Arabidopsis thaliana: one gene and its partner. The main gene of each other region encodes a partner of the protein of the gene in region 2 in a complex. Each region holds a gene or a part of one and is shown on either strand. Other genes may lie near its edges.

What was found. Proteins that work in one complex are often made in the same cells at the same time.
Region 1: the proteins of UBC8 (region 2) and ATGP4 are in contact, whole or in part, in a crystal structure (PDB 4X57), measured with the Arabidopsis thaliana proteins. Residues at the interface, in NP_001190447.1 of Arabidopsis thaliana: Leu7, Leu10, Lys11, Gln14, Lys15, Asp16, Pro17, Pro18, Thr19, Cys21, Ser22, Ala23, Gly24, Pro25, Val26, Ala27, Glu28, Met30, Gln34, Ala35, Thr36, Met38, Gly47, Val49, Leu51, Ala146, Met147; in NP_001329044.1 of Arabidopsis thaliana: Arg12, Leu13, Tyr14, Gly16, Ile58, Ser59, Ser60, Gly61, Lys62, Ile63, Thr75, Pro76, Phe77, Gly78, Asp79, Ile80, Ala81, Val86, His88, Val90, Gln92.

Annotation. Positions count from the first base shown.
Region 1 is NC_003075.7:12,849,117-12,853,549, reverse strand, and holds ATGP4 (Ubiquitin family protein), read left to right. Parts: upstream 1-1,739; 5' UTR 1,740-2,104; exon of another isoform or gene 2,105-2,200; 5' UTR 2,201-2,300; coding exon 2,301-2,430; intron 2,431-2,682; coding exon 2,683-2,853; intron 2,854-3,521; coding exon 3,522-3,577; 3' UTR 3,578-3,899; downstream 3,900-4,433. Other genes in the region: AMY1 (alpha-amylase-like protein), read left to right, coding at 1-25, 97-527, 752-1,117, 1,190-1,441. UniProt on the Arabidopsis thaliana protein: May serve as docking site to facilitate the association of other proteins to the plasma membrane.
Region 2 is NC_003076.8:16,673,985-16,678,010, reverse strand, and holds UBC8 (ubiquitin conjugating enzyme 8), read right to left. Parts: upstream 2,170-4,026; 5' UTR 2,121-2,169; exon of another isoform or gene 1,958-2,120; 5' UTR 1,940-1,957; coding exon 1,876-1,939; coding exon of another isoform or gene 1,870-1,875; intron 1,529-1,869; coding exon 1,392-1,528; intron 1,230-1,391; coding exon 1,125-1,229; coding exon of another isoform or gene 990-1,124; exon of another isoform or gene 932-989; coding exon 788-931; 3' UTR 502-787; downstream 1-501. Other genes in the region: AT5G41690 (RNA-binding (RRM/RBD/RNP motifs) family protein), read left to right, coding at 3,822-3,843, 3,936-4,009. UniProt on the Arabidopsis thaliana protein: Accepts the ubiquitin from the E1 complex and catalyzes its covalent attachment to other proteins. Mediates the selective degradation of short-lived and abnormal proteins.

The sequences.
Region 1 (4,433 bases), on a different chromosome or scaffold from region 2:
CCTTCTCAATCCGTTGCTCCTGAAGGTTCCATTTCTGCTTTACTCTTTACACATTCACATACCAATCTTGTTACTCACGCAATCTTCATTCCTCAGGTTACTTACCGGGAAAGCTATACGATCTAAACAGCTCCAAATACGGTTCAGAGGCGGAACTGAAATCGTTAATCAAAGCGTTGAATCAAAAAGGAATAAAAGCTTTGGCTGATATAGTGATTAACCACAGAACAGCTGAGAGGAAAGACGATAAATGTGGATACTGTTATTTCGAAGGTGGGACTTCCGATGATCGTCTTGATTGGGATCCTTCCTTTGTCTGCCGCAATGACCCTAAATTTCCCGGTACCGGAAACCTCGACACCGGAGGAGATTTTGATGGAGCGCCCGACATCGACCACCTTAACCCTAGAGTTCAGAAAGAGTTGTCCGAATGGATGAATTGGCTTAAAACTGAAATCGGATTCCATGGTTGGAGATTTGATTATGTTCGAGGTTATGCATCTTCCATCACCAAATTATACGTTCAGGTAAATCACATATGAATTCTCAAATATCAGACAACAGTATTAGTATATAAGAAACATAGGTTGAGATAATTATTTACTATTAGTATATATAAGTATCATAGGTTGATAGGGTTATTTACTACTATTTAGTATATAAGAAACATAAGTCAATGCAATCAATAAGAAATATATAAGAAAGTTCACTACTGATTATGTGATAAATTCCTCTGTTTTTGGATACACAGAATACATCACCGGATTTTGCGGTGGGTGAGAAATGGGACGATATGAAGTACGGAGGAGACGGGAAACTAGACTATGATCAGAACGAGCATCGGTCGGGTCTCAAACAGTGGATCGAGGAAGCGGGTGGTGGTGTGTTGACAGCTTTTGATTTCACCACCAAAGGGATCTTACAGTCTGCTGTCAAAGGTGAGCTTTGGAGACTAAAGGACTCGCAGGGAAAACCGCCTGGTATGATAGGAATCATGCCCGGAAACGCTGTCACATTCATAGATAACCATGATACATTCAGAACGTGGGTTTTCCCTTCTGATAAAGTCTTGCTTGGATACGTTTATATACTTACTCATCCAGGAACTCCTTGCATTGTAAGTATCATTTTAGTATGTAGCTATACTATTTACAACTACAATCTTGTTGATATGTTATTTTTGTTGCAGTTTTATAATCATTACATAGAATGGGGACTAAAAGAGAGCATCTCAAAGCTGGTGGCTATCAGGAACAAAAATGGGATTGGTAGCACAAGCTCTGTAACGATAAAAGCGGCAGAGGCGGATCTCTACTTGGCTATGATTGATGATAAAGTTATCATGAAGATTGGACCAAAGCAAGATGTGGGAACACTTGTTCCTTCTAATTTTGCTTTAGCTTATTCAGGCCTTGACTTTGCTGTCTGGGAGAAGAAGTAACGCATAACTCGAATCATAAGAAAAGTAATCGAATGTATCTTCTTCCTTTTTAATAAAACATTTTGGCAGTATCTAAAGATATGTATAATGAAATATAAAATGATAAAGAATACCTAAATAAAAAGAGCACTAGTGGTGTTAAAGGATACAACTCCAGTGAAAGAAAAGAGTTCAAGTGAAGAAGTGTCAACTTGTAGAAATAAGTATTGGAAAGTTTCCATCGTTTTGTTTTGTTGCATACAACTAATATATTATATATTGGCCGACTCGTATAAGATTTGGAGCCCTACTAAAATCAGAATTATGATGTCTTAACCACACAATACTGCCAAAATCAGAACGAATTATATTATTGTAGAAGAAGAAAAAAAAAGTATGGTGGGAAGTGGGAACAGTTAGACAGGTAAATTCGAATAAAACGACAGCGTTTTTGGCTAGGACAATAAAAGTTGAAGACGTCGGCTTGAGAAGAAGTAGAAGTGACGACGAAAAGAAAGGGGAAAAAAAAAAGGAAGGAAAAAAGTGAAAACCGTCGGCTTGAGAAGGAACTTTGATATTTGGTGACTCTTGAAAAAAGCAAGCTCTTTCTTCTTCCTTCTTTCGCTTTTTTCACACCTCAAAATCAAAGATCCGAAACACGATTTCGGAGGAAGCTTCGATTCTGTGTGTTTGATTCTTCCTCTTTTTTGTTTTTTGTTTTTTTGTTCTATCCCGTTTCGAAGCGAGCTCTGATTCTCGTTCCTGTCTACTTTTTTTCAGACCTATTTTCAGATCTGAAATAGTTGTGTTTGAGAAGCGGGATTGGTGATCGGAGCTGGAATTTGGTTGGTAATCGGAGGTCAGAGAGAAGTCAACGGATATGCCGGAGGAAGAATCGATAGATATCAAATTCAGGTTGTACGATGGCTCCGATATCGGGCCTTTTCGGTATTCTGCGGCTTCTACTGTTGACTTTTTGAAGCAGAGGGTCGTCTCTGATTGGCCCAAAGGTTAGTTTTAAGGTTTTTTGAATCGGTGCCCCTTTTTCCCCAATCTGATCCTGGTTTTATTCATGATCTTCCCACGAATTTCGTGTTGATTGTCACTGAATCCTGCAATTGTCGGTAGAAATTCGAAATTTAGAGCTGTAGATGAATTATTATTAGCTCATTTGAGATGTTATAAGCTTGATGTATGAGAAAAGCCAAGTCTCTGTGATTTGAGGTTGATCCAAGCATCAATTTTTTTGTGGTTTTGGTTAGGCAAAACAGTTGTTCCAAAGGGGATAAACGAAGTGAAGCTGATAAGCTCGGGTAAGATCTTGGAGAACAACAAGACTGTTGGGCAGTGTAAGACACCATTTGGAGATATTGCTGGTGGAGTCATTGTGATGCATGTTGTTGTACAGCCTTCTCTAGCTAAATCCAAAACAGGTAGTTGTTTGTCTATGTGTAATGTTCTTCATGTCTTTTATATCAGAGAATTCCCGTTTCATGGAGATATATGTGTCCTTAGAGGTTCCTCAATCTTTCATTAGTCTTGTGGTATTTATCTTGTCAACTGTATGGATTATGGTATTCATTTATCTGGCTCAACTTTACGTCTTATAATATCTAGCTCTAGTCATACTTATATTAATTGAGGCTGGTAAGATTTCGTAAGAGTGTTCATGCACATCAGAAAGTTAGTCGGTGACTAAGATCAGTACATTCTTTTTCTTTCTAACAGCCTATGGTACTGACTCAATCAACCTATCAGGTGATTAGTGGTTTTGTCTAAATTTGGTTTGTTTGTCTTGAGAGAGAGTAAAGGATACCCTAGAATTCATTCCTAGGTTTCTGGTGTGTTCTTTGTGTGAAATAAAGCAAAAATCAGCTCTAAGCTTAGCAAAGCATGCCATGAGGAAAGGAATACCTGAATTCATTATTGGTCGTCATCTCCTTGTAAACCCCACTGAAAACTTTTGCCAGTCTTTGAGATTTGTCTGCATAATTTGTTTTTTCACAAACTTGAGAAAGTCGTGGAAAGTGAGTTTGTGATTACTAAGACGTTTGTTGATGAAAGCTAACTAACAGTTGAATACTGGTTTTTGATTAAACAGAGAAGAAGGTTGATAAAGCACCAAAGGCAGTAATCTGCACATGCACCATTTTGTGAAGGGAGGAAGACCAATGTATCTATCATACACATCGTTTCAATTCTTCCGGTACAGAAGAAAACAAAATCAAAAAAAGAAAGCTAAAAGTAAAGTAAAGCTTCCCTTTAAGCTGTGGAGTTATTTATCATCTTTGAATGTGTAGAAAATGAACTATAAATTCTTTTCAAGTAACTCTTTGTCCCTTATTTGTTTTTTCTTCTTACTTTCCCAATGTATGGAAGCTGTATAGGTTACTAGGTCCATTACGTTACGTGTGATGAAGATAATTATATATCTATCTATTTTTAAAAAAGATTGTGCCTTTGTATTTTTCGTTCTTCCTTTCACACCGTTTTAGTATAGGTGAATTTGCGAAATGGCCAAATTCTGGCTGGCCCGTAAATGTAATTAATGAATTCATGAACTCTGAACATCACTTCGAACAGAAAATTCATCTCTTTTTGTTTTAGGTTGGGAAAAGGTAAGAGGATGGAGTTGCGGTTCCGATCAGACAGACAGGAAGAGTAGTGATGGATGAAGGCGACGTAGTCTCGAACAGAGGCATGATGTAATAACACATGATATATGACACAAGTCATAACCTAGCTACTTATAAATACCAACATAAACTAAAAAAAGTCATAACAATGGTATGTACTTATCTACATTAAAAAAAAAAAGAATTGCAGAAAGATGGCAATATGAAACTAAATTGAATCAAACACATGTACTACAAACAATAGTTAAAAATATCAAAACACAAGTAAAACAACCTAGTTTTAACATTTAAAACGAGGAGAAAAAAAACCAAAAAAGGGAGCCAAGCTTTATGCGTGGCGCTAAAAAGATTGGGCTGTTGATGGATAAATTATGATA
Region 2 (4,026 bases):
CAATCTGAAACTTTCCCTTTTCAAAACCAGTAAGTCGATGCAGATCATCCAACAAATTGGATAGTTCGATTTTGCTATCAACTCTGATCCCTCTTGGACTTGACCCTTCATAGAACGGACCATCAGGACCATCTTTAATACAACCATTCCAATAGCAGAACAACGGAATCTTTCTTGTATCCATGAACACCACAAAACCTTCAAATAGAAATAAACCCTAAAGATTAGGTTTTTTTTTGTTGTTGATGCAAAATGCGACATATATGAACTGTGAGTGAGGTTAAAGACTACAAATTTGTACTTAGCACTGTGAAAAATGGTCACTTTGCAGAAGAGAGTTTTTGTAATTTTACCTTTTCTTCCGCCGCCGGCTTCGGTGACTTCGTCGGCAAAAGACAACAGTTTGGTAAAATGGTCTGTTCTTTTTTTTCTCGTAGTTAACGACGGTGTGTCTACGAGATAGTGATTATAAGCTACATATTTGTGGTAAAATAAAATATTGGGAAAGAAAACAAGTCAATGAATATTCCTGACAAAGAAAAAATGAAATGAACAACAACACAATGTTTCTCATCACTCACTAGTAAATAAACTTTAACAAATAACCTTCAAGCTTTAGAATTCCATCTTCAAATTTCAGATAAAGATGATGATAATAAAACCCATAAACATATATAGTACAGACGAAAAAGTTGATATTTTAGACATTTTTATTAAAGTTAAAACAAGAAGAAGAAAGAAACAGACATGAAAACATAAACAGGTGCTGAAGCATACGAATCTTTGTTTAGCCCATGGCATACTTCTGAGTCCAGTTTCTTGCAGTAGCCTCGTATTTGGCTCTGTCGGTTTTGTACATGTGTGCAATCTCTGGTACCAAAGGGTCATCTGGATTTGGATCTGTTAACAGCGAACATATCGAGAGCAACACCTACCAATTGCATAAACATTTCCATTAAAACAGCTAAAAACTAGAGATGATGATCTTACTACATACACAAACATTCAAGAAGCAAAGCTTGTGCATTGAGCAAAATCCTAGCTGAAAATGTAGATGCTCTTGCTATACTTTTGGAACATAAACGAACATTGGAGAACCGATGTTTCTGAAAAATGAGAGTCACCTTGGAAATGGTGAGGGCAGGGCTCCATTGTTCTTTCAAAATGTCAAGGCAAATGCTTCCGTTGCTGTTGATATTAGGGTGAAACACCTTCGTCCTAAATGCAACCTGCAAATAAAAACAAAACAACCAATAAAAGTGTCAAGATTAAGCCAAGAAATTGATTTGATTTGGGGGCAAATACAAGTTTTAATTAGGTCCAAGAATTTCAAGGAACTCTACTAAACCTAAAGTTCGTGGTAATCTAAGAGTTGTTCCAATATTGAATACCTTTGGTGGTTTGAATGGATAGTCCGGAGGGAAGTGAATGGTAACGAGAAACACACCGCCTGAATACGGACTCTCTGCAGGACCCATAATTGTAGCTTGCCAATGAAACATGTCTTCAGCAACTGGACCTGCAAAAACTAAAACATAAGCAAAAAAAACACCACAAACCAAAGAAGGATTCTAGTATTCTACATTTCTCAACTCTTCTAACTCTGATTAGTCTAATAATTAGAGAAAAGTAGAAACTAATAAACTGAAATTCATCATAAAATCTTAAGATAAACATAAGCCAAAACATAAGTAGACAACACCACAACGCAAAGAAGGATTCTACATTTCTCAACTCTGATCAGTCTGAAAAGTAACTTTCACCTTTGTGATCTCTAGAATGCTAAATCTCTGGCATATTACCAGATAATCATAGATAAAGTAATGGATCCAACAAGAAGGAGAAAGATTTGAGATTTTTGAAGTGAACCTGCACTGCAGGAGGTTGGAGGGTCTTTCTGGAGATCCTTCAGCTCCTTCAAGATCCGTTTCGAAGCCATTTTCTCACTGAGAAACCCCTACAAAAAGTAATCCAAGTTAAACCTAGATCAATCCAGCTCAAATCCAGAAACTTTTTCTAATCTGATTGAATCGAACAAGAAGAGACGAGCTTTTTGAATTCCTACAAAAGAAGAGAGCTTTTTCTCGTGTGGGTTAATCAAAAGGAGAAAGCTTTGATACCTCAGAAAGAATCCTCCAAATTTGGTTTTGCGATTCACTCCTGCAGATGATTGGAAGAAAGCAAAACGAAAGAGAAAGTTTTGGTTTTTATGCTTTAAGAAACGGAAGCGAATAATTTAATTGGATAAACTATGATTTATTTTAGTAATAATGGCTGCTTAAGAAATATCTGTAAACATTATAATTTTAAAATACTATCTAATTTTTTTAAGAAATTATAAAGGGTGGGCTATATTTGATTTGACCCCACTTAGATTCCAAATGATTCTGAATCACGATGAATTTTCAATTGTAAAATTGTCCTCTTTGGTACATATTTGATATTTCTCTATTTCTATAGCCAAGTGTAGAGATATGAACGGCTGATTATATTTTTGTAAAAAATAAAAAATGAAACCAGATAACCAATCATAATTAATGAAATTTTATCTAGTTTTTGTGACATGATTATTTTAAATCTCTATCTCAAACTAATGTTTTATGATTCTAATTTATCCATACTAATTACATTTTATCAATAGAATGTAAATTTTATTTTGGAAAAAAAAGAAGTAAAATATCTTTAAATTTTGTAATCTCACAATAGTTGAATGTCATATTATGCGAGTCATCATGTTGTCATAGTGGGATTTGTATTACTGCAAATATCTAATGAACAATAATCAACGAATTAGTTATGGACTAATGAAAAGATAGGATATGCATTAAGATAAACTGGATTTGGTGAAAATTTAATAAGATAACTGGGTTTGGTGAGAGTGCGAGACTATTTGGCTCGGTTCAGTTTTATTCCAATTTCAAAAATTCCAATTTGGCTCGGTATAGTTCGGTTTATATCAGTTTCTATATTTCAATTTGGGTCGGTATAGTTCGGTTTATGTATTCATTCTTTTTGAGATGCGCAACAAGCTCTCACCGTTTCTCCTCCGCCGCTACCACAATTTGCCGTGGCCATGGGAATTCTCAGATGAGAACAATGAGAGCATTAATCGAAAGAGTCTCTCGTCTTACTCTGTGATCAATCTCTCGAATTCTCCTTACCGATAGATGGAGACGGTGTTTGCTTTTTGGGTTGTTTTCCGGTGATCGCATCTTCAATCAGTGGTGGTAATGGAATGGAGAAAGTTTCATCACGGAGATATGCTTATCTGGAAACTCTTACTCATGAGATTAAGATGAAGTTTACACGGGTTTGCCTTTCTTTTTAGTATTTTTTTCGCAAAAGATCGATTTGTGTCGATTGGTTTTGATTTTGCCCAGAAAACACTATTTGATTTCTCTAATTCGAGACACATGCGTTAGGTTATCGAATTTTGATATCCTCAATGAATACTTTTGTTTCAATTTTGAATCGTTACGGTTTCCGATTAAAATCATCTTTATCATGCAATCCACAGGTTGAGATTGTACCTGGTCTCTTGCTTTTTAATCGGAAACTATGAATTATGAATTCCAGAACAAACACACTGGGCTGATTTGGAGGTAGACGAAAAAGAAGAAGCATGTTGGGCCTTGGGCCTCTTAAGCAGGTACAATGAAAGCCCAGCCCAGCCCAAACCAAAACATTTCCTTTGATTGTTTTCTATAAATAAAACGTAGCTTAGGGTTATTTACTTTACAACGTATTGCTTGCGCTCAACGGACTCTTCCCGGAAAGAAGACATAAACCCCTTTAAACCTCCTGCTTTCATCTTCTCCGTGATGGTCAAATCTAACTCCCAGGGTTTGTTTTTTTGGTGGTTTATGATCTCTTATCTAATGTTGTTTTATACCAACTTACTTGGTTCTAAGAAGTTTTTGCTACTCTTCCTTTAGGTAAGCGTAACCCGCAATATGGTTTGGAGGCCAACCCAATTCTCAAGAGACATAAGAAAATAAACAAGAAGAAGGTAAACCTCATATGTTC